4 linked regions of the Anolis sagrei genome follow. The protein of the gene in region 4 interacts with the protein of the main gene of each other region in a pairwise test. Links are inferred from orthologs where the notes say so. Each region holds a gene or a part of one and is shown on either strand. Other genes may lie near its edges. The genes, in order: TTBK2, PRR13, PDGFRB and KLHL12.

Region 1 (7,058 bases), on a different chromosome or scaffold from region 4:
GCTGTAAGTTTTCCAGGCTGTATGACCACATTCCAGAAAGCATTCTCTACTGACATTTCTCGTGCATTTATTGGCAGGCATCCTCAGAAGATAGGCAGGAAGCAGCCAAGCTTTGAAGCTGCAAGGCTATTAATTGCTAATCAAGGTGATCAATTACAGCATTCAAACTTGCCTTTAACAGACAAGAGTTCTTTCTCCCACCTTGGACATTTCAGAGATGCATAAATACCGCTTGCCTAGTCTCCAACAAGCAATGGTATTCCCCGTAGTCACTCCAACAAGCAATGGTATTCCCCGTAGTGAGAGCTGGAACATAGAGAAGGCTGAGCGAAGGAAGATAGATGCTTTTGAACTGTGGTGTTGGAGGAAAGTTCTGGGAGTGCCTTGGACCACGAGAAGATCCAACCAGTCCATCCTCCAGGAAATAAAGCCCAACTGCTCACTGGAGGGAAGGATATTAGAGACAAAGTTGAAGTATTTTAGCCACAAAATGAGGAGACAGCAAAGCTTAGAGAAGACAATTATGCTGGGGGAAATGGAAGAAAAAAGGAAGAGGGGCCGACCAAGGGCAAGATGGATGGATGGTAGCCTTGAAGTGACTGGCTTGACCTTGAAGGAGCTGGGGGTGGTGACGGCCGACAGGGAGCTCTGGCGTGGGCTTGTCCATGAGGTCATGAAGAGTCGGAAGCGACTGAATGAATGAACAACAACAACAAAGTCTCCAACAAACCTCACAACCTTTGAGGGTGCCTGCCATAGATGCAGGTGAAATGTCAGGAGAGAATGCTTTCTGGAACATGGCCATACAGCCCAAAAAACTGACAGTAACCCTGCTTTCTTTTTGTAACACAACTAATTACTTTTATTTTGCTTAAAAGCCTTCTTTTGTGTATAAAATTCTATGAAAAGGCACGGTTGTTGAGATTTATTCAGTTACATAATTTCCCCTCTAAAAATACAGGGGAAGATGTAGCATTTCTATTTTTAACCCCAATAATTCCTATCACTTGATGTGTCTTTTGAAGGACTACAGATTTCCCTATCATTGTGATCCCAGGCGATTTGCTGGTTACCCTTTTTATTCCAAACCTGTTTCCCTCAGCTGTTACATACCTGAACGTGATGTTTTCCTTTGCCCCCATCTACAAAAGATGGAATTATTTTGTGAGGGGGAAGAGAGGAGTGCGACCCTTTTAAACAGGAAGGAAACTTGAATGGGTTGTTGTAGGTTTTTTCGGGCTATATGGCCATGTTGTAGAGGCATTTTCTCCTGATGTTTCGCCTGCATCTATGGCAAGCATCCTAAGAGGTAGTGAGGTCTATTGGAACTAGGAAAGTGGGTTTATATATCTGTGGAATGACCAGGGTGGGGCAAAGGACTCTTGTCTGTTGGAGCTAGGTGTGAATGTTTCAACTGACCACCTTGATTAGCATCTGATGGCCTGGCAGTGCCTGGGGCAATCTTTTGTTGAGAGGTGATTAGATGTGCCTGATTGTTTCCCCTCTGTTGTTTTGCTGTTGTAAGTTTAGAGCTTTTTTTAATACTGGTAGCCAGATTTTGTTCATTTTTATGGTTTCCCCCTTTCTGTTGAAATTGTCCACATGCTTGTGGATTTCAATGGCTTCTCTGTGTAGTCTGACATGGTGGTTGTTAAGAGTGGTCCAGCATTTCTGTGTTCTCAAATAATATGCTGTGTCCACGTGAAGTCGAACATGACCCCCCCCCCCCAAAGATAGTAACTTATAGTTTTGCTAAGGACAAGGACACCAGACTAGATAATAAGGTTTAAGCCTTGGTCAATTTGCCAAGACACTAACAACAACAAGGACCCTTCCCATGTTAGATAGTGTGTACATTTAACCAAGGTTTTATGCCCTATGTTTCATATATAGCAGAAGGTAGCACATTTATTACTGAGAAACCACCTCCCTTTATACTTATGTGCTCCCTTGAACTTCTATGGGACTCTAGTGGGAAGGATAAGTGGGTATGTTTTCTATATCGTGATTTCTATATTTCTATATTCCTCCCTGTGTATATGACCTTTTCCTGACCCTTTTTCCCAATTCCCCTTTATTGAAAAATGTATAAAAATACAAGGCAGCCGCCCCTGCGTGACCCTGGAAAGAAGGAAATCTCCAGTTGAAAAAGACTCTTATCAAAAGACACTTTTTGCATGGACAATAACAAAGGATCATGACCTCTGGCCTCGGAGTTGGCCCCCCAGAGGAAGTGGTCACTTGGCATTTATGATCATATCTCAATAGGACAAAGGAAGCCTTCGGAAAGCCACACCTTGTCCTAATCTGTTACTGATTCAATTTTTATCCACTGAAACCACAGCCACCTCATTGTTCCTGTCTCTCAGTAATGGAAAAATCCGGATTACGTTTATTGCAGCCACTCAATGACAATAGGAATGGCTGGCTCACAGGTCCCAGGACTCGCTGGCCGCTTGGACATTTCCTACCTCCATAATCATCTCAAGAATCCATTGTTTCCCTCTCATCCCGCCTCCCTCTCTCCTGAGGCAGAAGCCCAGTGATTGGCCCAGGCGCTCAGGAGGATCTTCGTATTTACTCTTGTGGCTTGTTCTCGGTCTTGCAGCTCTTCTGATGTCTGAGGTGGAGTATCCATTGGCCTGTAGAGCCCAGTTGAGGTGGTTCAGTTCAAGGCTTTAATGGTGCTTCTTTTTTGACTCGGGTGATGGTTGGCGTTTTTATGTAGATATCTATCTGTGTGTGTGGGTTTTCTGTAAACGGTGTGACCTCATTGTTGATCTGGTTTGCGGATGACTAGGACATCTAGAAAAGGCAGTCTTCCTTCATTTTCTTTCTCCATGGTTATTTATTTGTCGTGTTAGGGCAACCAGTCATTTATATTACATTTCTAACAGAACAAAGCAAACAAACAGACAAAATACAAAATTTGTGAGTTTGGTAGTTGGTTAAATGTCCTTTGACCAGTATCTGGCCACTTGGAGTGCCTCTGGTGTTGCTGCAAGAAGGTCCTCCATTGTGCATGTAGCAGAGCTCAGGTTGCATTGCAGCAGGTGGTCAGTGGTTTGCTCTTCTCCACACTCGCATGTCGAGGATCCCACTTTGTAGCCCCATTTCTGAAGGTTAGCTCTGCATCTCGTGGTGCCAGAGCGCAATCTGTTCAGCGCCTTCCAAGTTGCCCAGTTTTCTGTGTGCCCAGGGGGGAGTCTCTCCTTTGGTATCATGGTGAATTGGATGTTTGGGTGGATGCTGTTCTGCTGATCTGGTTGGCGGATGACTAGGACATCTAGAAAAGGCAGTCTTCCTTAATTTTCTTTTTCCATGGTGAACTGGATGTTTGGGTGGATGTTGTTAAGATGGTCCAGGAACCTTTCAGTTCTTCTTCTCCATGGTTCCAAATGGAGTAGCTATGGGGAGCCCTCTCAGTCTGATCATAGCTAATTTCTACATGGCACACTTTGAAAAACAAGCCCTGGAAACAGCAACAAAAAAGCCCACTCTATGGTTCAGAAATGTGGATGACACCTTCACCATTTGGATCCCTGGAGAAGAGGATTATTTTGTGAGGAGGAGTGTCACCCTTTTAAACTGGAAGGAGACTTCAATGTTCAAAAAGAATAAGACCGCTTTGAATCAGAAGACCAAGCACGTCAGGACCCGTGACGCAGAAAACTGGGTCTGAATCCCTTTTGGAGAAAAATAAATACAACCATTCTGACAAGATTCTGAGGCAAAACAACAATTCCCAGAATGCCTTTCTCTCTGTGTGTCTCTCCCCCCCCCCCCCCCCGCTTCTCCCCTCAGCAGCCTCATAAGCAACGGCGGCGTTTCTAAGCTACGGCCGCGCGCCAGAATGATTGGCAGGGGCCTTCCTCCAATCCGTTAGTGAGAGCCTCGCCTCCAAGCCAATCCCGTCGCAGGACGAAAGGAGGGCGGGCGGGAGAAGGCTGTTGGAGCGCGAGAGGGGAAGGCGCTTGGATGGAGGGCGAGGGGGGAAGGCGGGGGCTGGCGGCGGAGCTGCGGCTGCGGGAGGGAGGCTGCCGGGGGAGGAGGAGGCCGAGGCCGGGGCAGCAGCAGCAGCGGGAGGAGGAGGAGGAGCGCCGCTGACGGACTCCCTGCCTGCCCGCCTGCCTGCCTTCTTTCTCCGCCCGTTGGCTCTTCCAGGCCTCGGAGTCAGGCCAGGCCCCGCAGTCGCCATAGAGACGGCGGCGATGACGGCTTCCTCCGAAGCCATGGCCCACAGGAGCCCGGCGCCGCAGGGCTAAGACGCCCCACCTTCCTCCCTACCTTCCTTTCTCTCTCCCTCGCTTTGATTCCCCCTCATCGCCTCAGAGGAACGGCCGCGTTCCAGGTGAGAAGAGATGGAGGAGTGGGCCTAGCTCGAGAAGGCTTTGGGGGGATGCTGCGTTTCGGGGGAGGAGGAAGAGGAGGAAGAGGCGGAGGGAGAGAGAGCGAAGGATCACCTTCAGCCTCGCCTCATCATCACCATCCTCTTGTCTCCGCACCCGGCTATTATTCTGGCTTTACTGAAGGGGGCGGGGATGCGGCATTTTAAAAACCCCCACAAAAACCATCCCAAATCATCTCCTCCTTCTGTATTGTTGTTGAGGTTCCTGATAGATACAGGGTGTTTTTGTTTGTTCTTGGCGGACCCATCCCAAGGAGGCAGAAGATGGGATGGTGTTGTCTTGAGAAAAAGATAGTGGGTTGCTGTGAATTTTCCAGGCTGTATGGCCATGTTCCAGAAGCATTCTCTCCTGACGTTTCGCCTGCATCTATGGCAGGCATCGTCAGAGGTTGTGAAGGCTGTTGGAAACTAAGCAAGTGAGGTTTATATATCTGTGGAATATCCAAGGTGGGAGAAAGAACTCTTGCCTGTTCGAGGTAGGTGTGAATGTATTGTTGAAGGCTTTCATGGCCAGAATCACTGGGTTGTTGTAGGTTTTTTCGGGCTATATGGCCATGTTCCAGAAGCATTCTCTCCTGACGTTTTGCCTGCATCTGTGGCAGGCATCCTCACAGATTGTGAGGGCTATTGGAAACTTAGGCAAGTGAGGTTTGTATATCTGTGGAATATCCAAGGTGGGAGAAAGAACTCTTGTCTGTTCGAGGTAGGTGTGAAAGTATCGTCATGGCCGGAATCACTGGGTTGTTGTAGGTTATTTTGGGCTATATGGCCATGTTCCAGAAGCATTCTCTCCTGACGTTTGGCCTGCATCTGTGGCAAGCATACTCACAGGTTGTGAGGGCTGTTAGAAACTGAGGTTTATATATCTGTAGAATATCCAAAGTGAGAGAAAGAACTCTTATCTGTTTGAGGTAGGTGTGAATGTATTGTCGAAGGCCTTCATGGCCAGAATCACTGGGTTGTTGTAGGTTTTTTCGGGCTATATGGCCATGTTCCAGAAGCATTCTATCCTGACGTTTCGCCTGCATCTGTGGCAGGCATCCTCAGAGGTTGTGAAGGCTGTTGGAAACGAAGCAAGTGAGGTTTATATATTTGTGGAATATCCAAGGTGGGAGAAAGGACTCTTGTCTGTTCGAGGTAGGTGTGAATGTGTTGTCGATGGCTTCCATGGCCGGAATCACTGGGTTGTTGTAGGTTTTTTTGGGCTATATGGCCATTTTCTAGAACATGGCCATATAGTCCAAAAAAACCTACAACAACCTGTAGATGGGAATGTTTCAATTGGCCACCTTGATTAGCATTAAATGGTCAAGCAGTTTCAAGGCCTGGCTTCTTACAGCCTGGGGGAATTCTTTGCTGGGAGGAGATTAACTAGCACCTACCTCAAACAGACAAGAGTTCTTTCTCCCATCCTGGACATTACACAGATATATAAACCCCATTTTCCTAGTTCCCAGGAGACCTCACAACCTCTGAGGATGCCTGCCATAGATGCAGGCGAAACGTCAGGAGAGAATGCTTCTGGAACACAGCCGTACAGCTCCGAAAACTTATAGCAACCCAGTGATTTCGGCCATGAAAGCTGGGTTTGCTTCTTCCTTCTCCTAAGGTCATTGCAGGGACAGACTATTGGCAAGAACTTAGAGGAAGGGCAATGGCAGGTTGAGCATCCCTTAACCCAGATTTTGCAATACAAACGCAGATTTTTTTCAAAACAAATTCAGGAATACTTTGCAATACCAAATACTCCAGAATTTACCAGCCCCGAACCAGAAATCCCAAACAATCCAGAACTAGCAATCCTGTAACTGGGAGTCTGAAATCCAAAGTAATCAAATTGAGCATCCCTTAACCGGAATTTCTAAATAAAAAGTACTCCAGAATTGGGTTGCTGTTAGATTTCCGGGCTGTATGGCCATGTTCCAGAAGCAATCTCGCTTGACATTTCACCTGCATCTATTACAGCCATCCTCAGAGGTTGTGAGGTTTGTTGGAGAATAGGCAAGCGGAGTTTATATATATGTGAAATGCCCAGGGTGGGAGAAAGAACTCTTATTTGTTAAGGCAAGTGCGAATGCTGCAATTGATCACTTTGATTAGTATTGAATAGCCTTGCAGCTTCAAAACTTGGCTGCTCCTGCCTGAAGGAATCCTTTGTTGGGAAGTGATTAGCTGGCCCTGATTGTTTATTGTCTGGAATTCCCTAGTTTTTGAGTATTTGTCATGAGATTTATTTATTTGATAGTACCACTTTTTCTTTTCTGTTGATTAAATGTACATAAACATTGTTCCCGGCACCAAAATTATTTTAAAAATTATATGAAATTACTTTCAGCCTATGTTTAGAAGGCATATATGAAACATTTCAAACAAGGGATATTCAGCCAGTTTGAGTCATAAAACTGTTAATGTTGATATGCCTGTGTTTCTTTTATTCATGCGAATATGCTCTAGCATGGAGACAGATGGAGATTGTGGCTAAACATTGCTGTTGCCATTAGCAGTTACATGAAGATATAAATACAGACACATAGACTTACAGCACTTTTAAAAGCACAGGTATGGTTCAGTGCCAGGCGTATTTAATATCTGCCAGCATTGAGGGTTAAAAGAAATCTGCTAGAGGGGATGGCTATTTATTTAAAGTTAT
Region 2 (7,274 bases), on a different chromosome or scaffold from region 4:
AGAGGTATATGGAGGTAGGTGCAATGTGCAGATAATCCTGAGTCTCTAGCAAAGTGCAATTGGGACTTGAAACCAGGAGTTTCCTATTCTGGAAAGGCACACTGAAACAGCCAGGTCTTCAGGCTCTTCCTAAAGACAGCCAACGTTGGGGCTTGTCTGATGTCTTTGGGGAGAGAGTTCCCGAGTCGGGGGGCTACCACAGAGAAGGCCCTGTCCCTCATTCCCACCAAACGCGCCTGCGACGCAGGTGGGATCGAGAGCAGAGCCTCTCCAGATGATTGAAGGGAACGTGCGGGTTCGTAAACGGAGATGCGGTCATGCAGGTAGGCAGGTCCCAAACCGTTTAGGGCTTTGTAAGTGAGCACCTGCACCTTGAATTGGGATCGGAAAATGAACGGCAGCAGTAATACTACTGTAATACTACTGTAGTAATACTACTGTAGTGCAAATAGCACTAGTAGTACAGTAATACTACTGTAGTGCAAATAGCAATCAAGCTATAATCCAACCATCCAATATATAAGACAACAAGCTGGATTCAAATCCTAGATCCATAACTGAGCTGTCAGAAAATGCCTTTTATATTCAGAGTTCAATTTTCCCATCTGTACAATAGGAACAATTAAGATTGGCCCTCCGATCTCCCAAAATGTGTGGAATTAAGCAACAAATCTTGCTGGAACATTCACTTTTTCCATCTTTATTCCAGACAAACGCATCCTTCAGCATAGAACACTTGACCAGCACCTGTACTCTCAGTCTCTCTTAGTTTATCTGCTTATCTAACATATTCAAACACTCTGAGAAAAGTCTGGACATTGAAGAAAAGTAACAGCAGCAAATTAAACCCATTTGAATGTGGGGCTGGAGAAGAGTTCTGCAGATATGGTGGACTGCTAAGAAGTCCCATAAATGGGTGCCCAAGAGCATATCAATGGGTGCCCATATCTCAATCTCTTCGAGGTTGAGATATGCTCTTGGGCACCATAAATGGGTGCCCAAGAGCATATCTCAACCTCGAAGAGAACTCAAGGCGGCTTTACATATAGGCAACTATTCAATGCTTTAAAACATACAAATAATATAAACATTTAAATTATGAATATAAACTAATGCACATCAAAACATTTAGAAAACATTTTATTCACTGTTGAAAACCATACCATCGACAATCATTAATCTGGGGCCATTCCAGTAGTCATTGCACATAATCTGTATCTATTATTACATTACAATTATTCTCCGAAGGCTTGATCTCAAAGCCACATTTTCACTTTCCTTCTGAAGGCCAGGAGGGAGGGGGCTGATCTAATGTTGCTGGGGAGTTCCACAGCCAAGGAGCCACCACGGAGAAGGCCCTGTCCCCACCAGTCGCACCTGCAAAGGAGGCAGGATTGAGAGCAGGGCCTCCCCAGAAGAGTTCAATACTGAATGCTCCCTAGAAACTAAGGCCCCTTCCACACCGCTGAATAAAATCCCACATTTTCTGCTTTGGACTGGGATACATGGAAGGGTGGACTCAGAGAATCCAGTTCAAAACAGATATTGGGGATTGTCTACTTTGATATTCTGAGTTATACGGCTGTATGAAAGGGCCCTGAGTCCACAGTGCCATATATTCCAGTTCAAAGCAGATATTATGGGATTGTCTACCTTGATATTCTGGGTTATATGGCTGTGTGGAAGAGCCCCAAGACAACTAAACTGAAGCTGTCATATTTTAGCCCTGTCATGACATGGAGCCCCCAATGGCACAGAGGGTTCAACCCCTGTGCTGGTAGGATTGAAGACCAACAGGTCGCAGGTCCGAATCTGGGGAGAGAGCATATGAGCTCCCTCTATCAGCTCCAGCTCCTCTTGCGGGGACACAAGAGAAGCCTCCCACAAGAATGATAAAACATCAAAACATCAGGGTGTCCCCTGGGCAACGTCCTTGCAGACGGCCAATTCTCTCACACCAGAAGCGACTTGCAGTTTCTCAAGTAGCTCCTGACACGACCAAAAAAAAGGGGGGGGGGACATGGCTCACCAGAAAATAAGACAATACTGACTGGTAAGTTAGAAGTCAGATGGAAAATAAGATCACACTACAGATGGATAGGTTCACTTATGGAAGCCAAAGCCTTGAGTCAGTGAGAGCGACTGTTCAGTGCTACTGGAAGACTCTCACCCATAGGTTCACTATAAGCCAAAGTTTACTTAAAAGCAATCGACAACAAAAAGGGCCACACTTTAATAACACTATGTAACAACATTTGATTTTTACCCCTGTTCCTGATTTCATAGAATCATAGAATTGGAAGAGACCTCATGGGCTATCCAGTCCAACCCCCTGCCGAGAAGCAGGAAAATCACATTCAAAGCATCCCCAACAGATGGCCATCCAGCTACTGTTTAAAAGCCTCCAAAGAAGGAGCCTCCACCACACCAAATATTAATTCCTGTTTAATTGTGCGGTACTTACTTTGAAAGTAGTTGTTATACTCCAGAAACTTTGTTTTTGTGGCTGCCACAAACTATGTTCAATTGGTTAGGACTCGATGAAATAGTCATTGAAAAGCTATAGCAAAAATGTGCGGCAGGATGTCCACCATAAACAAAGTTTTTGCATTTAAATAAACTTTCCTCATGTTTTTATGATAGAGTCAATTAGGAAATGACATTTATAACCCAGAGACAAAAATCGTGTTACAAGCCAGGCAGTGCAGGGAGACACTGCGTCTTCAACACAGAAACAGGATATTTGATGGTGATGATTATGATACTCATTGATATTCCCTCCTTTCTCCATACAGGAGGGCTCAAGGAGGCTAACAACATGTTTTCAACTATACAAATGAAAAACAATACAAAAGCCAGAGTTTATATACGTCTGATTAAAAGTGTATACTGTAATACATACAATTACACCTGATCACAAGAGCACCCACCTGCCTCCCTTCAGCCCTTTCTGTTCCTGCTTCTTCACTCTCTGCAACTCTGAAGCCTCCACTTCCTGGAACCTGATTCTATCTCCACCTCTTTCATTCCCATTGGCTTGCGGCTCTCAACGCCCTCTTCCTATAGGCTAAGGAAGATGTCCATCAACAGTTATGCTTCAAAGAGCTGAGAAATGGGGTGTGTGTAAAGGAGACGTCATAGATTTTGTGTTGATAAATACAGACTGAGACTTTGGTTAAGACAGAAGTTAAGCTGTATCAACACTGCAAAAATTAAATTGCCATGGTTCAATGCTATGGGATTTATAGTTTTACAGGGTTTTAGCCTTCTCTGATCAAAAGTTTTGGGGCCTCCTCAAACTACAACACCCAGGACTCCATAGCATTGAGCTATGGAAGTTAAGTTGGTATCAAGTTGTGTTAATTCCACGATGTAGATGCACCCCTAAACTTTTATGGGTGGTTGGGTTTTGTAGATGTTTCTCAAGCTTCAGAACTACACTTTTGGAAAGCAGGGCCATTTAAGGCCATTTAGTGAGCTCCCGCTGTTAGCCCCAGCTTCTGCCAACCTAGCAGTTCAAAAACATGCAAATGTGAGTAGCTTAATAGGTACTGCTTCTGCAGAAAGGTAACAGCACTCCATGTAGCAGTTCAAAAACATGTAAATGTGAGTAGCTCAATAGGTACTTCTTCTGTGGAAAGGTAACAGTGCTCCATGTATCCATGCTGGCCACATGACCTTGGAGGTGTCTATGGACAACGCTGGCTCTTTGGTCCAGAAATGGAGATGAGCATCACCCGCTAGAGTCGGATACAACTAGACTTAATGTCAGGGGAAACTTTTACCTTTTTAAAAGCTAGCTTCAAACTGCAGCAATCAGGCAATAAACTCCACAAAAGGACTTGAAAGAAATTCTTTCATGAGCATCACTGGTCTGTTATATAATCACCATCTGGGCTACAAACCCATTCTAGGACTTTATATGTAATCATCTACACAACCAAACCACTTTCTTCAATATCGGTTTGGAACTGCATTAATAGAGAAATAAAGCAATACTGTTGTGTATTGTCGAAGGCTTTCATGGCTGGACTCACTGGGTTGTTGTAGGTTTTTTCGGGCTATATGGCCATGTTCTAGAGGTATTCTCTCCTGACGTTTTGCCTGCATCTATGGCAAGCATCCTCAGAGGATGCTTGCCATAGATGCAGGCGAAATGTCAGGAGAGAATGCCTCTAGAACATGGCCATATAGCCCGAAAAAACCTACAGCAACCCAATATTATTGTGTGTTGAAGTAGGGATTTGCAGCAGGTGTGTCGTTTCTCCTGAACAGGCTGACTGGCTTATTATGAAAACAAAGTCCATATCAAAAGGCGGAGCTGATGAACAAAGGGACACGGTATTTATTTAGTACACTAGCAGAGTTTGCATTGGAACAAGCGAAACCAGAGGGAGAGAGAGAGAAATAGGAGTGCCACCAAGAATTAAAAGAAGTTGAACGACTGCATGCCTGTTCTACAAGGTTGACTTCAAAAACCAACAATGTTTTGGAAGAAATGCAGAACCATTTATCTGAAATCAGTCCTGCTTAAATCTGACAAATTGTGTGGGTTCAACATGATATAGCAGGATAGTGATAAAAAAGAATGGATGACATCTCTGACCGAGCACAGGCTAAAGACACTATTAGGGCTTACTCCACGGCTCGGCGGGCAGCCGAGAAAACCTTCTCGACTGCCCACATAGTGTCTGCAGCCAATAGGCCATCAGAGTTGTTCTGGGTTGTTGGGGACACCCTCCACCCACCTGAGGTGAAGGACATCCCTGATGACACGGCAACTCGGTGCAGCGATTTCACGCACTATTTTGCAGGCAAAGTCGCTCGGATACGTCTCGAGCTGGACTCCAATTTAAATGCAATGCCAAATGAGGTAACCGAGGCTCCCGTCTGTCCGATCTTATGGGATTCTTTTTGTCTTATTTTGCCTGATGACATTGACGGGATCCTGGGGGCTGTGAGGGCAACCACTTGTGCTCTGGACCCTTGCCCTTCCTGGCTAGTTAAATTGGCAAAGGGTGGGTTGTTGGACTGGTTTATCTCCATCATCAATGCATCATTGGGATGGGAAATTCCCATCCTGCCTTAAGCAGACAGTGGTAAAATTACTGAAAAAGACTTCCCTTGACCCATCCATGCTGAATAACTACAGACCAATTTCTAACCTCCCTTTTTTGGGCAAAGTGCTGGAGCGGGTGGTTGCCTCGCAGCTCCAGGGGTTCCTAGATGACACCGATTTTCTAGATCGATCACAGTCTGGTTTCAGACCCAGGCACAGTACCGAGATGGCTTTGGTCACTCTGGTGGATGACCTCCACAGGGAACTGGACAGGGAGAGTGTGACCCTGCTGATTCTCTTGGATATCTCAGCAGCTTTCGATACCATCGACCATAGTATCCTTCTGGGTCGGCTTTCCGGAATAGGACTTGGGGGCACGGTTTTACTGTGGCTTCGGTCCTTTCTGGAGGGTCGTTCCCAGATGGTAAAACTGGGTGACACCTTCTCGGACCCCTGGCCATTGACCTGTGGGGTCTTGCAAGGCTCCATTCTGTCTCCCATGCTTTTTACCATCTATATGAAACCACTGGGAGAGGTCATCCGGAGTTTTGGAGTTGGGTGCCATCTCTATGCGGATGACGCCCAGCTCCACTACTCTTTCCCACCGAATCCAAGGAAGCCCCTCGGATGCTGGACCAGTGCCTGGCTGCTGTATCAACCTGGATGAGGGCAAACAAGCTGAAGATCAATCCCGACAAGACACCCAATATACTTGACCAGGGTATTGGGTGGCAACCTGTGCTGGACGGGGTTGCACTCCCCCTGAAGGCGCAGATCCACAGCTTGGGGGTCCTCCTGGACTCAGCACTGATGTTTGATGCGCAGGTGTCAGTGGTGGCTGGGAGGGCCTTTGCACAATTAAAACTCGTGCGCCAGCTGCAACCATACCTTGCGAAGTCTGACTTTACCATGATGGTCCACGCCTTAGTTACCTCTAGATTGGACTATTGCAATGCACTCTACGTGGGGCTTCCCTTGAAGACAGCCCGGAAAATTCAATTGGTTCAATGCTCGGCAGCCAGAATTCTAACGGGGGCAAATTACAGAGAGCAGTCAATCGTCCTGTTTAAGGAGCTCCACTGGCTGTCGTTCATCTTCCGGTAACAATTCAAGAAAGTGTTATGTCGTCATGGACAAATCATAGTGCTTGCATGGGGCCATTCTTTTTTTTGTCTGTGAAGTATATTTGGCTTGTTGGAAAAGAGATTTGTATGTTGCAAAGTCACTCAGATACGTCTTTGCACTATATTTGTATTAATACCTGGAAGCCATTGCGCCATCAAGGTTACTGCTAAAAAAAACCCACCCCGGGCTCTTTGCTCCTGATTTTCAATTAGCTTCCCAGGAAAAAAAAACCTTTGAATTTCTAGCAACACTGATGCTGTGACTTTGATACAGCTCAGGAAATCTTTTGGTTTTAGTTGCTCCCTTGCTACATGGTGTCCAAAAATAAGAGCACAATCGCAATATAAATTTAAACCTATTTGAAAATTATATAACTATCATGAGCCCCATCCACAAACCATAAAAATGGTTGCCTAACTCACGTCATTAGTCTCAGATAGACCCATTGAGTGAGTTGGATCTGTTAACTCTATAGGTTTGCTATAATTCGGGCTAGCAAGTGAATTTCCAATTTCATGTTGGGGATGACGTTTATCCAAAAAAAAAAAAAAAAACAAAGCAAAAAACCCTCCAGCCATATCAAGTTTCCTGTCTGTTTCTCTCTGTGAAGTTACAGAGATAGTGCAGAAAAGGATTGGAGAGGCTGACCAGATTTAGAAGTGTATCTACATCAACCAGATAAATCTAACTTTGTAGCATCCTGGAACATTTTGGCTATCCATAAAGCCGATCAGTCCCAAGAATGCATTGGGGCTGTCAGTGCATCGCTATCAGCAGGCAGCTTCCTCTCAGAATGAAGGGACACACACTTAAGGTCACATTGCTTGGCACCAGAAATGACATCACAATGGCATCAACAGCAAGCCTCCGGGATGGAGCTGCTTGCTGGTGGCAAGCAGCCATCAGCTTGTCAAAAAATAGCTGGTCAAAGCTTTGAAACTGTGGGATCAATCCATGTTCTGTTGATGTGGATTAACATCTGGATGCAGTGATTGTACTGTAACTCCAGCTATGTGCCATAGGAGCTCAGTAATGAGTCCTTTTTTATTTTGGCCATGTAGATATGGCCTAAGCCAGCAGATTTTAGAAA
Region 3 (7,030 bases), on a different chromosome or scaffold from region 4:
CCAGGGAAGTCATGTTGCCCCTCTATTGTGCCTTGGTCAGACCACACCTGGAATAATGTGTCCAATTCTGGGCACTGCAATTAAAGGGAGATGTTGACAAGCTGGAATGTGTCCAGAGGAGGGCGACTAAAATAATCAAGGGTCTGGAGAACAAGCCCTATGAGGAGTGGCTTAAAGAGCTGGGCATGTTAAGCCTGCAGAAGAGAAGGCCGAGAGAAAACGTGATGGCCATGTATAAACATGTGAGGGGACGTCATGGGGAGGCTTGTTTTCTGCTGCCCTGGAGACTAGTACGTGGAACAATGTCTTCAAATTACAGGAAAGAAGATTCCACCTGAACATTAGGAAGAGCTTCCTAATTGGAGAGCTATTCAGCCACGGAACTCCTTGCCCCAGAGTGTGGTGGAGGCTCCTTATTTTAAACGGAGGCTTGATGGCTATCTGTCAGGGGTACTTTGAATAAGATTTTCCTACTTCTTGGCAGGGGGTTGGACTGGATGGGCCACAAGGTCTCTTCCAGCTCTATGATTCTAAGTGCACAGGAGTCAAGGGCAACAACATCCTCAAGAATGACATGGAGGATGCCGAGAGCTCATCAGTGCTTTAGGTTCTTAATGCATATAACATGCTTTAGCAGTTTAGCTCAATGATCACCATAGCAACCTAAGTAAACAATAACTACCATAGTAAACTGAGGCAATATTGCTGTTGCAATATGACAGTGTGGACCTGGCATAAAAGGCGAAACTGTCCAGTGAGATGACAGTTGAGTAGAGAATCAAACTGAAGGTTCCTGGCAGATAGCTTTTTTTTTTTTTCTTAACCACTTTGTTACAGCAGTACTTCCTCTGGTAGTTTGGGTCTGGAAAAAGAGACACAAAGTATGGCAACAGTAGCCAATGTCTCTTATTGTACAATGGATATAGCTTTCATGCTGTGAGAAACATTAATGTGTGTTTTACCATCCTGTGGGAGGCTTCTCTCATGTGCCCACATGACAAGCTGGGGCTGACAGACAGGAGCTCACCCCACTCCCCTAAAAGAATAGAAAGAAGAAAGGAGGATCAGGCTGCAGGTAGTTTGAAAAACCTGAGCCTCAGACTCTGGACAGCTACTTAGGCAGACAAATACAGTGAGTCCTTGGTATCTGCTGGGGATTGCTTCCAGAACTCCATTTGGGTACCAAAATCCATGGATGCTCATGTCCCATGATATACAGTGGCATGGTACAATGGTGTCCCTTATATAAAATGGTAAACCAAGGTTTGCTTTTGAAATTTTAAAAATATTTTCAAGCTATTCAAGATGGAATCTGAGGATAAAGAATCCATGGATACAGATAGCCAACTGTAGTGCAACTGTAGTATTGAGTAGCTTCCTGCATTTCCAATGTATATTATGTGACCAGCAGCATTGATGGATAAGACTGAACAACCCCTGTTCAATGTATTGTCGAAGGTTTTCATGGCTGGAATCACTGGATTGCTGTGAGTTTTCCAGTCTGGATGGCCATGTTCCAGAAGCATTGTCTCCTGATGTTTCACCCACATCTATGCTCAGAGGTTGTGAGGTCTTTTGGAAACTAAGAAATTGGGGTTTATATATCTGTGGAACATTCAGGGTGGGAGAAAGAACTCTTGTCTGTTGGAAATTGTGTGATTAAAAACCATGAAAATGAACAAAATCTGGCTACTAGTATTTTTAAAAAACTCTAACATCAGGACAGTAAATAAAGAACACCACTCAGAAAACAGAGGAATTCTGGACATGAATCTATAAGGGGCAGCTAACACCTCCCAACAAAGGATTCCCCCAGGCAGCAACCACCCAAGCATTGAACCTGCAAGGCTATTGAATGCTAATCAAGATGGCCAATTGCAGCACTCACACTTGCCTCAAACAGACAAGAGTTCTTTCTCCCATCCTGGACATCCCACAGATATCTAAACCCCAATTGCCTAGTTTCGAACAGACATCACAACTTCTGAGGATGCCTGCCATAGATGTGGGTGAAACGTCAGGAGAGAATGCTCCTGGAACATGGTCATACAGCCTGGAAAACTCACAGCAACCCAACCATTGTGACTGTGTGAAAGTAGCCTTTCTGATGAAGATGGGGTTTCTTTAGTAGCTCTGAAGTTTTGTGCTTTAGAAAGCTGTTCTCCCATACCAGGATGATGAGTGTTACCTGTTCAATAATCGGTCAAAAACAGCCCTCCCTCACCCCCTAGAGGTGCTGGGTTATGATGCCCATGGTCTCTAGAGGGAGATGCCAGGCTCTTCCTCTCCAGCCCTTGCCAGAAGCCACAGGCTGCCTGCCCAGCCTCCTCCTCCTGATCTTTTCCGGAGCCTAGAGGATGCTCGGGACCATCCCTTGGTATCAACGCTCCCCTGGCTTCTTGGAGGGCCATTTCAGAAGCAAGGGTGGCAAGGCAGGGAGAGGAAGCCCCAGTCCAGCTCTATTCGGCTATAACATCAAGAGAGCTTGGGCAAGTCCCTTCAGAACCGGCCCCAGACCCAGCCAAAGCTCTTGTAGCCCCTTCACCATGCGGCGCCTTTAGGAAAGGGGCGCGAGGGAGCCAAAGCCCCCCAAACAAGCCCGAAGGAAGGTCCAAAGGCGTGCAGGCAAAGGAAAGTGGCCAGGTTTCGCCTCTTGGAAGCTGCCCTGGAAAAGGAAGGGCGCTGCGGGCTCGCGCTCTCCACATCTGGATTTGTTCAAAAGAGTTTCCATTTGCAGCTCTGGCTCTCCGGCTGGAAAAGCAAAGGGGACCGGAGGGGGCTTACCTGGCTCTCCCACACTAGGGAGGGGGCACCGCTTGGCCCCACAGGGCGCCCTGGGCTTCCGCGAGGCTCCTTCGCCCGGCTCCCTCGGAAGTGTCTCCGGAGGCAAGCCCCACCAGCCTGGACTTCAGCTCAGCTGGGCAGCCCTTTCCAAACTCAGGAGGAGGAGGAGGAGGGAGCCAGCCGGGCGCTTGCCTCCTGCTCCCGGCCCAGAGAGGGGGGGGGGAGGGAGGCGGGAGGCGGGGCGGAGGGCCAAAGGGGGCGGGGAGGCAGGCAAGGAGGGGAGGAAGCCAGGAAGGGGTCTCCCGCTGCCTCCCGAGGCAGTCAGCCCGGCCTTCTCGCGCCCCCTCCGAGCACGCGCTCCGCATCTTTGGGCTCAGCGGCAGCAGGAGCAGCAGCAGCAGCCCTTCCCTCGCCTGCCACGGCGCCCCGAGCGCACGGATGGAGAGCGGCTTCTCTTTTGAAACCCTGCTCGGCTCCAACATTTGTTTGGACAATTTGGGGACAGAGAAAAGAAAGCTGGCCTCTTGGCCCTTTGTTGGTTTCCATTGGGGGAAGTTCTGAGGAAGCCCCAAACACCCAGACTTGGGGGCGGGGGGCGGGGATGAAGGAGAGCTCCCTTGAAAAACCCAGCTCCTTCCTTCCTTCCTCCTTCCTTCCTTCCTTCCTTCCTTCCTTCCTTCCTTCCTTCCTTCCTTCCCTTCCTGCCCCATCCTTCCCCTCCCTCCCTCCCTTCCCCTTCCTTCCCTTTTTCCTTCCTTCCTTCCTTACTTCTTTACTTCCCCTCCCTCCCTTTCTTCCCTTCCCCTCCCTCCCTTCCTTTCTTCCCCTCCCTTCCCTTTCTTTCCCTTTTTCCTTCCTTCCTTCTTTCCTTTCTTCCTACCCCTCCTTTCCTTCCTTCCCTTCCCTCCTTTTTACTCCGTTCCTTCCCCTTCCTTCCCTCTTTCCCCTCTCTCCCTTCCTTCCTTCCTTCCTTCCTTCCTTCCTTCCTTCAGACTCAGCCAAACAAATACAAGAGGAACCCAAAGTTTGGCCAAGACGTTTCCCCTCGGGGCGGCTGCCCCCCCTCCCCCCCGTGTGTGTGTGTGAGAAGGCGCCTGCTTTCCCCTCTTGCTTTCTTTCTCCTTTCCCCTCCTCCCTGCCAGCCAATCTGCCTGCCTGCCTTCTCCCCTTTCCCAGGATATGAGGGGATGTGCCGAGAATCCGCTGCCCACGCCAGGCGCTGACTCATGTTTTTATTAAAGAAAGGAGGCCGGGGCCTTCCATCCACGCCGCGGATCCAAAGCCCCGCGGCCCCCTCCTTGACACCCGGGGAAACGCCAAGGGGCAAAGCAGGAGGGCGGCTGGGGGTCCTGCCACTGGAGGCCTTATCGCCAGGGAGGAGGAGGAGGAGGAGGAGGAGGAGGGTGACTGGCTGACTCCGAGGAGCTTCGTCTGCTGGGCGGAGCCGCTGTTTACCAGCGCCTTTCTTTTGGGAACAATGGCAGGGTGGACAGGCCCGAGTGGGACGGGGGTGTGCGTTGCGCCTCGGCCTTGCCCGTTTCCCTTCGGCAGGAGGAGGGCGTGAGCAGGCTCTGTCTCCAGCCCAGCTGCGAGGCCCAAGGAACATAACAGGCCACTCGCGGGCTGAATCCCCTCCAAAGGAAATCTTAGTTCTGCAGAAGAAGTGCAAAGCAAAACCCCAAGGAGGAGGCCAGGCCCCTCTTCCACTTGAGCGTTTATATGGAGCAATGGGCAGCATTGGCTCCCTTGAATTTCTTTTGACTGCAACTCCCATCACCTTTCATCATTGGCTAGGCTGGGTGGGAGTTGTAGTCTAGATGTAACTAGAGCAGGGGCGTCTAACCCATTTTCACCAAGGGCCACATCAGCCATAAGGCCGCCTTCAAAGGGTTGGTTGTAATCTCAAGACTATACATGTAACAGTGTTGCCCTGGCATTGAATGCCTTACAGGCCACATAAAATGACTCTGCAGCCTGGATTTGACCCAGGAGCCTTGTGTTTGACACACAGTGATCTTGAATCTAACCAGTCCTAAAGAACTTGTTCTAAATTGGCATGGGCAAACTTCAACCATCCAGGTGTTTTGGATGTCAACTCCCAGAAATCCCGGCCAGTATACCAGCTCTTAGGAATTGTGGGACTTGAAGTCCAAAACACCTGGAGGGCTGAGCTTTGTTATGCCTGGAACAGGTATGGTGAACAGTTGACCCTCATTACCCACTGAGTCAGCCACCCACAGCTTGAAATTTAAAAGAAAACCCAAAGCCAACCTTCATTTTACCATTTTATATAAGGAACACTTTTTTTTTTACTATGCCATTATATATAATGGGACTGGGTTATCCATCAGTTTGGAAATCCACATGGGCCCTGGAAGCAAACCTCGGCTTATATTAAGATCCCACGGTACTGCCCTATTTGAAAAGTTAAAGAAAACTTCTAAAATGAAAACCAGTACCACAACTTCGCTTCAATATGATATGCATTTATTGTGTTTGCATTTGACAAATCTCAGTGGAATCCACAACAAAACCATAGCTGTGACACCTTTGCTGCCCCCTGGATTTGGAATCTAAGTGTCACATTTTGAGGGAGGGGGGGAGGGAAGGTCACAAAGTCCTTTATTTTGTATTACAGATGAAGGAAGTATTACTGCTTGAGGGAATGTATGAACTGCTTTAAAGTTTTTTCAGGGATCCCTTTTGTGATCTTTTAGACATTTTACTCCATGTTTGAGATATTATTAAGGTAAGCAGCTTATTTATCAAACCTGGGGACGTATAGAACTGATTTCAAAAAACAAATGAGGAACTTTGTTGCCCACATGGGAGACAAAGATTTCTCTGGAAGAAGTGCCTCCCTTTGGTTTGAGTAATGACAATGGAAGATAACGATGCTGGGGGAAATGAAAGGAAAAAGGAAGAGGGACCAACCAAGAGCAAGATGGATGGTTGATATCCTTGAAGTAACTGGTTTGGAAGGGCTGTAGAAGAACATGAAAACTTGAGAGGTATAATTAGCAAAATTTATAAGATACTAATTGAAATGAAGGATGAAAAAATAAAAAAGTGTACCCTTGAGATTTGGGAAGAGGATTTAGGGATGAAAATAAGTGAAACAGAGTGGCAACAGTTATGGGGACAAAGACATTTTAAAAAATTATCGATACGAGTTAAAGAAAATTATTACAAGTTAATATGGAAGTGGTACTTGACACCGGTAAGAATAGCATATATGAATAAAAATAACTCAATAAATTGTTGGAGAGGGTGTCAAGAACCAGGAACATATATACACATGTGGTGGCAATGTAAATATGTAAATAATTTTTGGGAGAAAGTATTTAGAGAAATAGAAACTATAATGAATATGAAAATAGATAAAAGTCCTAGTATAGCCTTACTATCATTATATAACAATAAGCAATTGAAAAAGGAAGATAAAGAAGCGATAACAAACTTACTAACTATAGCAAGACTGCTCATAGCAAGGAATTGGAAAAAAGAAATGAATATACAAATAGAGGAGTGGTATAAAGAAGCATGGAAAATAGCAATAAATGATAAATTGACATGTATATTAAAGGTTTAAAAAGGTACATGGAAACAAAGCGATTTTGATGCTGTATGGGGAAGATTTGTGGTAAATGGATTAAAAAATAAGGAAGGAAAATTACCATCACAAGAAGAAATGAAATTTTGGACAGATGAAATGTAAGAATGGTGGCTTGAGACGGGTGGAGGGGAGCACTGTGGTGATAAAAAGGAAAAAAAGAGAAAGGGGGGGGGGGGGAAATGCCAAAGCAAAACAATAAAACAACATGTTAAAGAGGCTGATGTACAAAATGCAATAGTATGTAATAAATGTGAAAAATCAATAAAAAATATTTTAAAAAAAGAAGTAACTGGTTTGGCCTTGAAGGAGCTGGGGGTGGCAATGGCTGACAGGGAGCTCTGGTCCAGGAGGTCACAAAGACTTGGAAGCGACTGAATGAATAAACAACAAAGACAATGGCAATGGAAGATCACACTCAGGGAGGAAGACTTTATGCTAACCAAAGGTGGATGTTTTGTTTTTCCAAGGTTTTTTTTTTTACTGCATCCAGATAAATCTACCTAGTTTGAGTGCAACCATGTTTTGCTTCATACAGCAAATCCCATCCTAGCTCTGACAATATACATAGACACTTTCTGAGGAATTCACTGCTTTCTTCTTGCAATACGAGTGGAACCTTTCCGGTTCCGG
Region 4 (6,961 bases):
TAGCACAATCCGATGGGCTGGAAAGTATTTTTGTTCCACACGAAGGGTCACATCACATAACGTGTTACTTTTTCGCAGAGAATTCATTGCATTGAGAATGGATTTGGCATGAGAATTAGTCATTATATCTTTAGGAGCCATAGTGAGTTACTCCAGCCAACAAGAGAGCTGTGGAGGCAGGTTCAACGTATCAGTAACCTGTGGGATAAAAACATCTGTTTACTGATGAACACAAGGCCAAATTTAACAAAGTCTAAAGATGAAGAATGAGGAACTTTGTCTCTCCTGTACATATCTATAAATTAGCTTGTAGATCATTCTGCTCTAGCCATTTTCATGCAAACTCTTCTATTCAGTTACATTGCAATATACCTCAAAATAATCAACTATTAAATATTGGCTTATTATCAAATGTGCAGTAGGTGCACTGTAGGACACCAACACAATACAAAGCCACAGACTGAGATAATACAAACATCAGATGTAAGGACAAGATGTAATAAAGGTGGATCAGTGACAGTGCAGGGAGATGGAGCGAGGAAAATTCAGAAGTTGCCTAGGTTAGACATACATTTCTATTACTTTTAAATCTTCCTATTATACTGTGTGTGTATACATACATACATACACACACATATGGTATATATAATTTTAGTATATTAGTTGTAAGGTTAACAAAAGATGCATTCGAATTTTCAAAATACAGTTGGCCATTAGTTTCCATGGATTCAACCATCTAAAACTTGAAAATATTTTTTAAATCAAGTGTCTGATGTATCTGAGGGCATCTAGGGTGCATCTATACCGGGGCAAAATTCAGCCCTCCAGGCGTTTTGGACTTCAATTTGTCTGGTTGTTAGGAATTGTGGGAGTTGAAGACCAAATCAACTGGAGGTTGAAATTTGCCCATGCCTAATCTATACTGTAGAATTAATGCTGTTTGGCACTATTTTAACTGTCCTGGTTCACATGGATGACTGAGTGTCATATCCTCATGAAGCCAGAAAAGCTGGAATGTAAAATTACCTCTGTGTCTATATATGTTGCATGTCTAAATGGGATTAAATGTTTGCCATGTATATGTGCATTGTAATCTGCCCTGAGTCCCCTGCGGGGTGAGAAGGGTGGAATATAAATACTGTAAATAAATAAATAAATATTTGCTTTCTGATGGTTCAATGAATACAATCCATGTTTCATACACATTATTAAAAACACTGTGCACAAAATTACCTCCAGGCTACTTCTCTCTCTATATATATGGTGTATATATAACATGAATTAGTTTAATGTTTAGACTCCACGAATACTCAGTAGGGATGTAAATACATGGTGGACCAAAGGTCACAAGTTAAACATTTAATAATGCCTTCATTATTTTGGCTTTAATATACACCCCATTGGGAGTGTATACCCCATGGGGAGATAGGGTGGGATAAAAAAAAAGTAAAGGTTTCCCCTTGACATTAAGCCTAGTCGTGTCCGTCTCTGGGGGGTGGTGATCATCTCTATTCCTACACCAAAGAGCTGGTGTTGTCTGTAGAAGTCTCCAAGGTCATGTGGTCAGTATTACTGCATGGAGCGCTGTTACCTTCCAGCCAGGGCGGTACCTATTGATCTACTCATACTTGCATGTTTTCAAACTGCTAGGTTGGCAGAAGCTGGGGCTAACAGTGGGAGATCATCCCGCTCCATGGATTCGAACTGCTGACCTTTCGGTCAGCAAGTTCAACAACTCAGCGGTTTAACCTGCTGTACCACTGGGGGCTCCAAAAGCAGGATATAAATATTTATTTATTTAAGACATTTGTATCCCGCCTATATCAGCCTGAGGGTGACTCAGGGTGGCGTACAAGTTGGCAACAATTAGATGCCATGTATTAAAAAATACATACATATGTAAAAGCAAAACATCACAATACATTTAAAAACTATAAAAACCAATGATTAATAAAAATTATATAAACTGTCTTCTTGTTCAAATCCTCAACCGTTCCATTATCTTAGTTGTTCCCTAGTTCATTTCCAATATGAGTTTTTGGTCATGCTGTGGTTCCAAACGCTTGCTCACTCTTTTTTGAAAGGTCAGGAGGGAAGGGGCTGATCTAATATCCCTAGGCAGGGAGTTCCACAGCTCAGGAGCCACCACAGAGAAGGCCTTTTTTTTTTACACAACATCATATACAGTGCTGAGTGTTTCAAAAAGAGGGACCCAATTCGTAATCGCTGTTATCTCTGCAGCCACAAATTAAACCCTTATCCCTTGTAACGGTGGGGTATAGAGTTTCAAATGATGATTACTAGAACCCAAACATCCCACTGCATAGTGTAGATCAGGCATGGGCCAACTTGAGCCCTCCCTCCAGGTGTTTTGGACTTCTACTCCCACCATTGAGGAAGGGGAGGAAGGTGAAGGTCTTGTAAAATGACAACTACAGTTCACCAGAATCTAAAGCAAGCACGGGCAAACTTGGGCCTTCCCTCCAGGTGTTTTGGACTTCAGCTCCCACAATTCCTAACAGCCTCGGGCCCTTTCCTTTCGAGGGGGGAAAGGAAGGGGCCTGAGGCTGTTAGGAATGGTGGGAGTTGAAGTCCAAAACACCTGGAAAGAGGGCTCAAGTTGGCCCATGACTAGTGTAGAGGAATTCAGGTACATTGAAACGGAATACTTTGTTTTCCAATAGGGAATGCCTTCAGTGACAAAGGCCTGATAACACTAGACAGGCCGCCAAGTGGGGCTGTGTTCCTTCCTTTACCTGGCGTTCCCTCCTGGGGGGCGGCCCAGAGGCCTGGCTCCCGGCTCAGCCTCCTCGGGCGGCAAGGGGCCGGCCGGGCCGCCTCTCCGCCTCCCAGCAGGCCCTCCGCCCGTGCCGTCGGCCGCGCCCTCCCCGCGGGGAGGGGAGGGGAGAGGAGGGGAGAGAGTCCCGGCTCCTGCGGCCCGCCCGTCCCGCTCCTTCCTTCTCCTCCTCTTCCTTTGCCGCCGCATCAGGCGCGCCTGGATGACGTCAGCCGCGAGGACGCCGCTCCTTGGTTTCAACCTGCGCGAAGAGAAGCCTCGCCGCCTAGCGGCTGAATGGGCGAAAAGGCGCGTCGCGGGCGGAGGGATTCGGCTTCCTTGTGGTTGCCAAGCAACAGGGAGTTTCTACGTTTCGGCCTCCGCGTTGTGATAAAGTCCCTCAGTCAAGCAGAAGTCAAGGGAGATGGAGCAGTGCTTGCTCTCTGGGGTCCCTCCCACACCTGAATAAAACCCCACATTATCTACTATGAACTGGATTATATGAGTCTACACTGCCCTCTAATCCAGTTCAACAAGTTAAACCTGAGCCAACAATGTGATGTGGCGGCAAAAAAAGCCAATGGGATTTTGGCCTGCATCAATAGGGGCATAGTGTCTAGATCTAGGGAAATAACCCCTCTATTCTGCCTTGGTTAGACCACACCTGGAATATTGTGTCCAATTCTGGGCACCACAATTCAAGAGAGATATTGACAAGCTGGAATGTGTCCAGAGGAGGGCAACTAAAATGATCAAGTGTCTGGAGAACAAGCCCTATGAGGAGCGGCTTAAGGAGCCGGGCATGTTTAGCCTGAAGAAGAGAAGGCTGAGAGGAGATATGATAGCCATGTATAAATATGTGAGAGGAAGCCACAGGGAGGAGGGAGCAAGCTTGTTTTCTGCTTCCTTGGAGACTAGGATGCGGAACAATGGCTTCAAACTATAAGAAAGGAGATTCCATCTGAACATGAGGAAGAACCTCCTGACTGTGAGAGCCGTTCAGCAGTGGAACTCTGTGTGGTGGAGGCTCCTTTGGAAGCTTTTAAACAGAGGCTGGATGGCCATCTGTCAGGGTTGATTTGAATGCAATATTCCTGCTTCTTGGCAGGGGGTTGGATTGGATGGCCCATGAGGTCTCTTCCAACCCTTTGATTCTATGATTCTATGAAAACAACTAATCTGCATTTTATATGGCAGTATAGAAGGGGCCTTAGCTCAGGGGTTTCAGGGCCCTTCCAGACGGCCATATCACCCAGAATATCAAGGCAGATAATCCACAGTATCTGCTTTGCACTGGGTTATCTGAGTCCACACTGCCATATAATCCAGTTCAGTGTGGATTTTATACAGCTGTGTGGAAGGGGCCTCAAACTCATTCTCATTGAAGGCGCCATCTGCCTGATAGTTGACTTCAAAGGGCTGAATCTGCCAATACAGAGGGGCAACTATAACTTTTTTAAAGTGCTCTTTAAGTTTGATCCAATGTTAAATGACTGGAATCCCTGGTGGCGCAGTGGGTTCGAATCCGGGGAGAGGTGGATGAGCTCCCTCTGTCAGCTCCAGCTCTTCATGTGGGGACATGAGAGAAGCCTCCCACAAGGATGATAAAAACATCAAATCATCCGGGCGTCCCCTGGGTAACGTCCTTGCAGATGGCCAATTCTCTCACACCAGAAGCGACTTGCAGTTTCTCAAGTCGCTCCTGACATGACAAAAAAAAGTTAAACTATTTTATTTTTTTAATAAATTTTTATTAAATACATAGATACATAAATACATAGATAGAGGGAGAACAATATATAGCGGATAGTGCAGTAGGAAAAATACAGGGGTGCCCTGTTATTGGCGATACTCCCAAGGGATGTAGGGTGGGGAGGTAGGTAGGGAAGGGGTCGGATGAAGATGGGGCAGGGGTAGAGGGGGGGTGGGTGGGCTATAGGGTAGTTAAAAACTTTGAGCTTCCATCTCTTCAATGAGGATTTTCTATAAATATTTTCAGTTTAGCTTCTTTAATGCTTCTTCCTTTCTTGCGACACTGGATTTGTGATTTACTCTTTTGTGATTTTATTTATTTATTTATTTTTATTTTTAATAAATGATGTCTATTTTCAATTTCTTAAGGAAGACCTTTACTAAGCCCCAGTTCGTAGGTTTACTTGGGATGCCATGGTTTGGTGTTACCCAATATGTCAGTTCATCCATGGTCATTATATCAAGGATTTTATTGATCCAGTCTTCTCTTTGAGGGGCTTCTCTCTGTTTCCATTTTTTAGCGAATTCGATCCGTGCTGCTGTAATTAAGTAATGGAATAATTTGTCATTATTTTTTTCCTCCTTAATGTCATACATTCCCAGGAGAAAGAATTCTGGTTTGTTTTCTATTTGTATTCCTAAGATCTTTTGAATATCTTTTTGAATCATTGTCCAGTATCTTTTGGCTATGGGGCAAGACCACCAGATGTGGAAGAAAGTCCCAATCTGGTGTTCGCACTTCCAACATTTGTTTGAGGTGTTTTTATAACATTTTGAAATGATTTGAGGAGTCAGGTACCACCGATGGATCATTTTGACAAGATTTTCTTTTAATTCATATGAGTAGGTTAATTTCATTCTTTGGTTCCAAACTTTCTCCCATTTATTCAGTTCAATTTGGTGGCCTATGTTTTGGGCCCACTTGATCATTGAGTTTTTTACTTGTTCCATTTCAGTGGTCCACTCTAGTAATTTTTTGTAGAGTTTTGTGATAAGTTTGTTGTTTGTCTTCAATATGCTGTCCAGGAAACCATTTTGATCAGCAAATTCTGCGATTTTGTCTATCTTGTAGCTATCAACCAGTTGTCTATAGTTTAGCCAAGAGAGGTTAGGAAAGATTTCTTTTATTTTCCTTTCATCTTTAAGTACATATTTTCCTTCTGCCTTTTCTAGGATGTCGCGATAAGTAGGCCATTGTTGCCAGCCCATTTCTCTCCGGTGAAGGGCTTCTAGGGACGAGAGCCACAGTGGAGTTTTATTATATAGTCTTTTTTTGTGTCTCTCCCATATTTTCATTAGGCCTGCTCTTATATAATGATTGTTAAAGTTCCTTTCGATCTTTGTTTTATCGTAGTGCAGATAGGCGTGCCAGCCTCGCCTGAGGTCTACACCTTCTAGGGAAAGTAGGTTTTTGTTTGTTAATAGGATCCAATCTCTGATCCATATCAGACCGCAGGCTTCATAATAACACCTCAAGTCTGGGAGGCCGGGGCCGCCTCTTCTTTTGTCATCGATAAGTATCAGACGCTTGATCCTGGGCTTTTTCCCTTGCCATACAAATTTGGAGATGGTTTTGTTCCATTGCTTGAAGATGTTTACATTTCTGATTACTGGTAGGGACTGAAAAGAGAATAGCATCTTGGGCAAGATGTTCATCTTTATTATAGAGATTCTCCCTAGCAGAGACAGCTTCAGATTTTTCCAATTGTCTAGATCCTTCTGTACTTCTTTCCATATCTTTTCATAATTGTTTTTTATTAGTTGGGAGTTTTTAGCTGTTAACGTTATTCCCAAGTATCGTATTTTCTCTACTACTTTAAATTCTGTTAGGGTGGAAAGCTCTTCCTTTCTTTTCTGGGACATATTTTTAGTTAGTATCTCCGTCTTTCTTTTATTTATCCTTAGGCCCGCTACTGACCCGTACTCTTTAATTTTAGTTATCCATTTGGAGATTGTTTCTATGGGGTTGCTGATGATACACAACAAGTCGTCCGCGAAAGCCCTTAGTTTATATCTTTCCTTATTTATTTTGATGCCTCTTAAGTCAGGATCCTCTCTGATAGAATTAAGAAGGGTTTCTAAGCTCAGGATGAATAATAGAGGCGACAGGGGGCATCCTTGTCTCGTGCCTTTACAGATTTTCAGGGGGCTTGATTCTTGCATGTTTATTATCATCCTGGCTTCTTGGGAGTTATAGATTGAATTGATGGCATTATGGAACTGATATCCTAAGTCTAGTTCTTTGATTAGTAATTTTAAGTAATTCCAATTGAGATTATCGAACGCCTTTTCGGCGTCAAGACTTAGTAGTGCTAGTTCTTCTTGGTTGTTCTTCTCGAGGTATTCTATGGTGTTTAGAATAATCCTAATATTGTCTTTTAATTGCCTGTTAGGCAAAAAACCTGCTTGTTCCTCTTTCACCCATTCTTTCAA

Evidence for each region.
Region 1: the proteins of KLHL12 (region 4) and TTBK2 interact in binary tests that used the Homo sapiens proteins (3 or more experiments, as listed by UniProt). The two-hybrid records come from large-scale screens. The link is inferred for Anolis sagrei from reciprocal best matches to the Homo sapiens genes KLHL12 and TTBK2.
Region 2: the proteins of KLHL12 (region 4) and PRR13 interact in binary tests that used the Homo sapiens proteins (3 or more experiments, as listed by UniProt). The two-hybrid records come from large-scale screens. The link is inferred for Anolis sagrei from reciprocal best matches to the Homo sapiens genes KLHL12 and PRR13.
Region 3: the proteins of KLHL12 (region 4) and PDGFRB interact in binary tests that used the Homo sapiens proteins (3 or more experiments, as listed by UniProt). The two-hybrid records come from large-scale screens. The link is inferred for Anolis sagrei from reciprocal best matches to the Homo sapiens genes KLHL12 and PDGFRB.

The regions. Positions count from the first base shown.
Region 1 is NC_090021.1:286,669,441-286,676,498, forward strand, and holds the start of TTBK2 (tau-tubulin kinase 2), read left to right. Parts: upstream 1-4,044; 5' UTR 4,045-4,351; intron 4,352-7,058.
Region 2 is NC_090022.1:190,607,798-190,615,071, forward strand, and holds the start of PRR13 (proline-rich protein 13), read right to left. Parts: upstream 3,014-7,274; 5' UTR 2,903-3,013; intron 1-2,902. UniProt on the Homo sapiens protein: Negatively regulates TSP1 expression at the level of transcription. This down-regulation was shown to reduce taxane-induced apoptosis.
Region 3 is NC_090022.1:85,965,956-85,972,985, reverse strand, and holds the start of PDGFRB (platelet-derived growth factor receptor beta), read right to left. Parts: upstream 3,002-7,030; 5' UTR 2,785-3,001; intron 1-2,784. UniProt on the Homo sapiens protein: Tyrosine-protein kinase that acts as a cell-surface receptor for homodimeric PDGFB and PDGFD and for heterodimers formed by PDGFA and PDGFB, and plays an essential role in the regulation of embryonic development, cell proliferation, survival, differentiation, chemotaxis and migration.
Region 4 is NC_090024.1:206,377,188-206,384,148, reverse strand, and holds the start of KLHL12 (kelch-like protein 12), read right to left. Parts: upstream 3,011-6,961; 5' UTR 2,757-3,010; intron 199-2,756; 5' UTR 142-198; coding exon 1-141. UniProt on the Homo sapiens protein: Substrate-specific adapter of a BCR (BTB-CUL3-RBX1) E3 ubiquitin ligase complex that acts as a negative regulator of Wnt signaling pathway and ER-Golgi transport.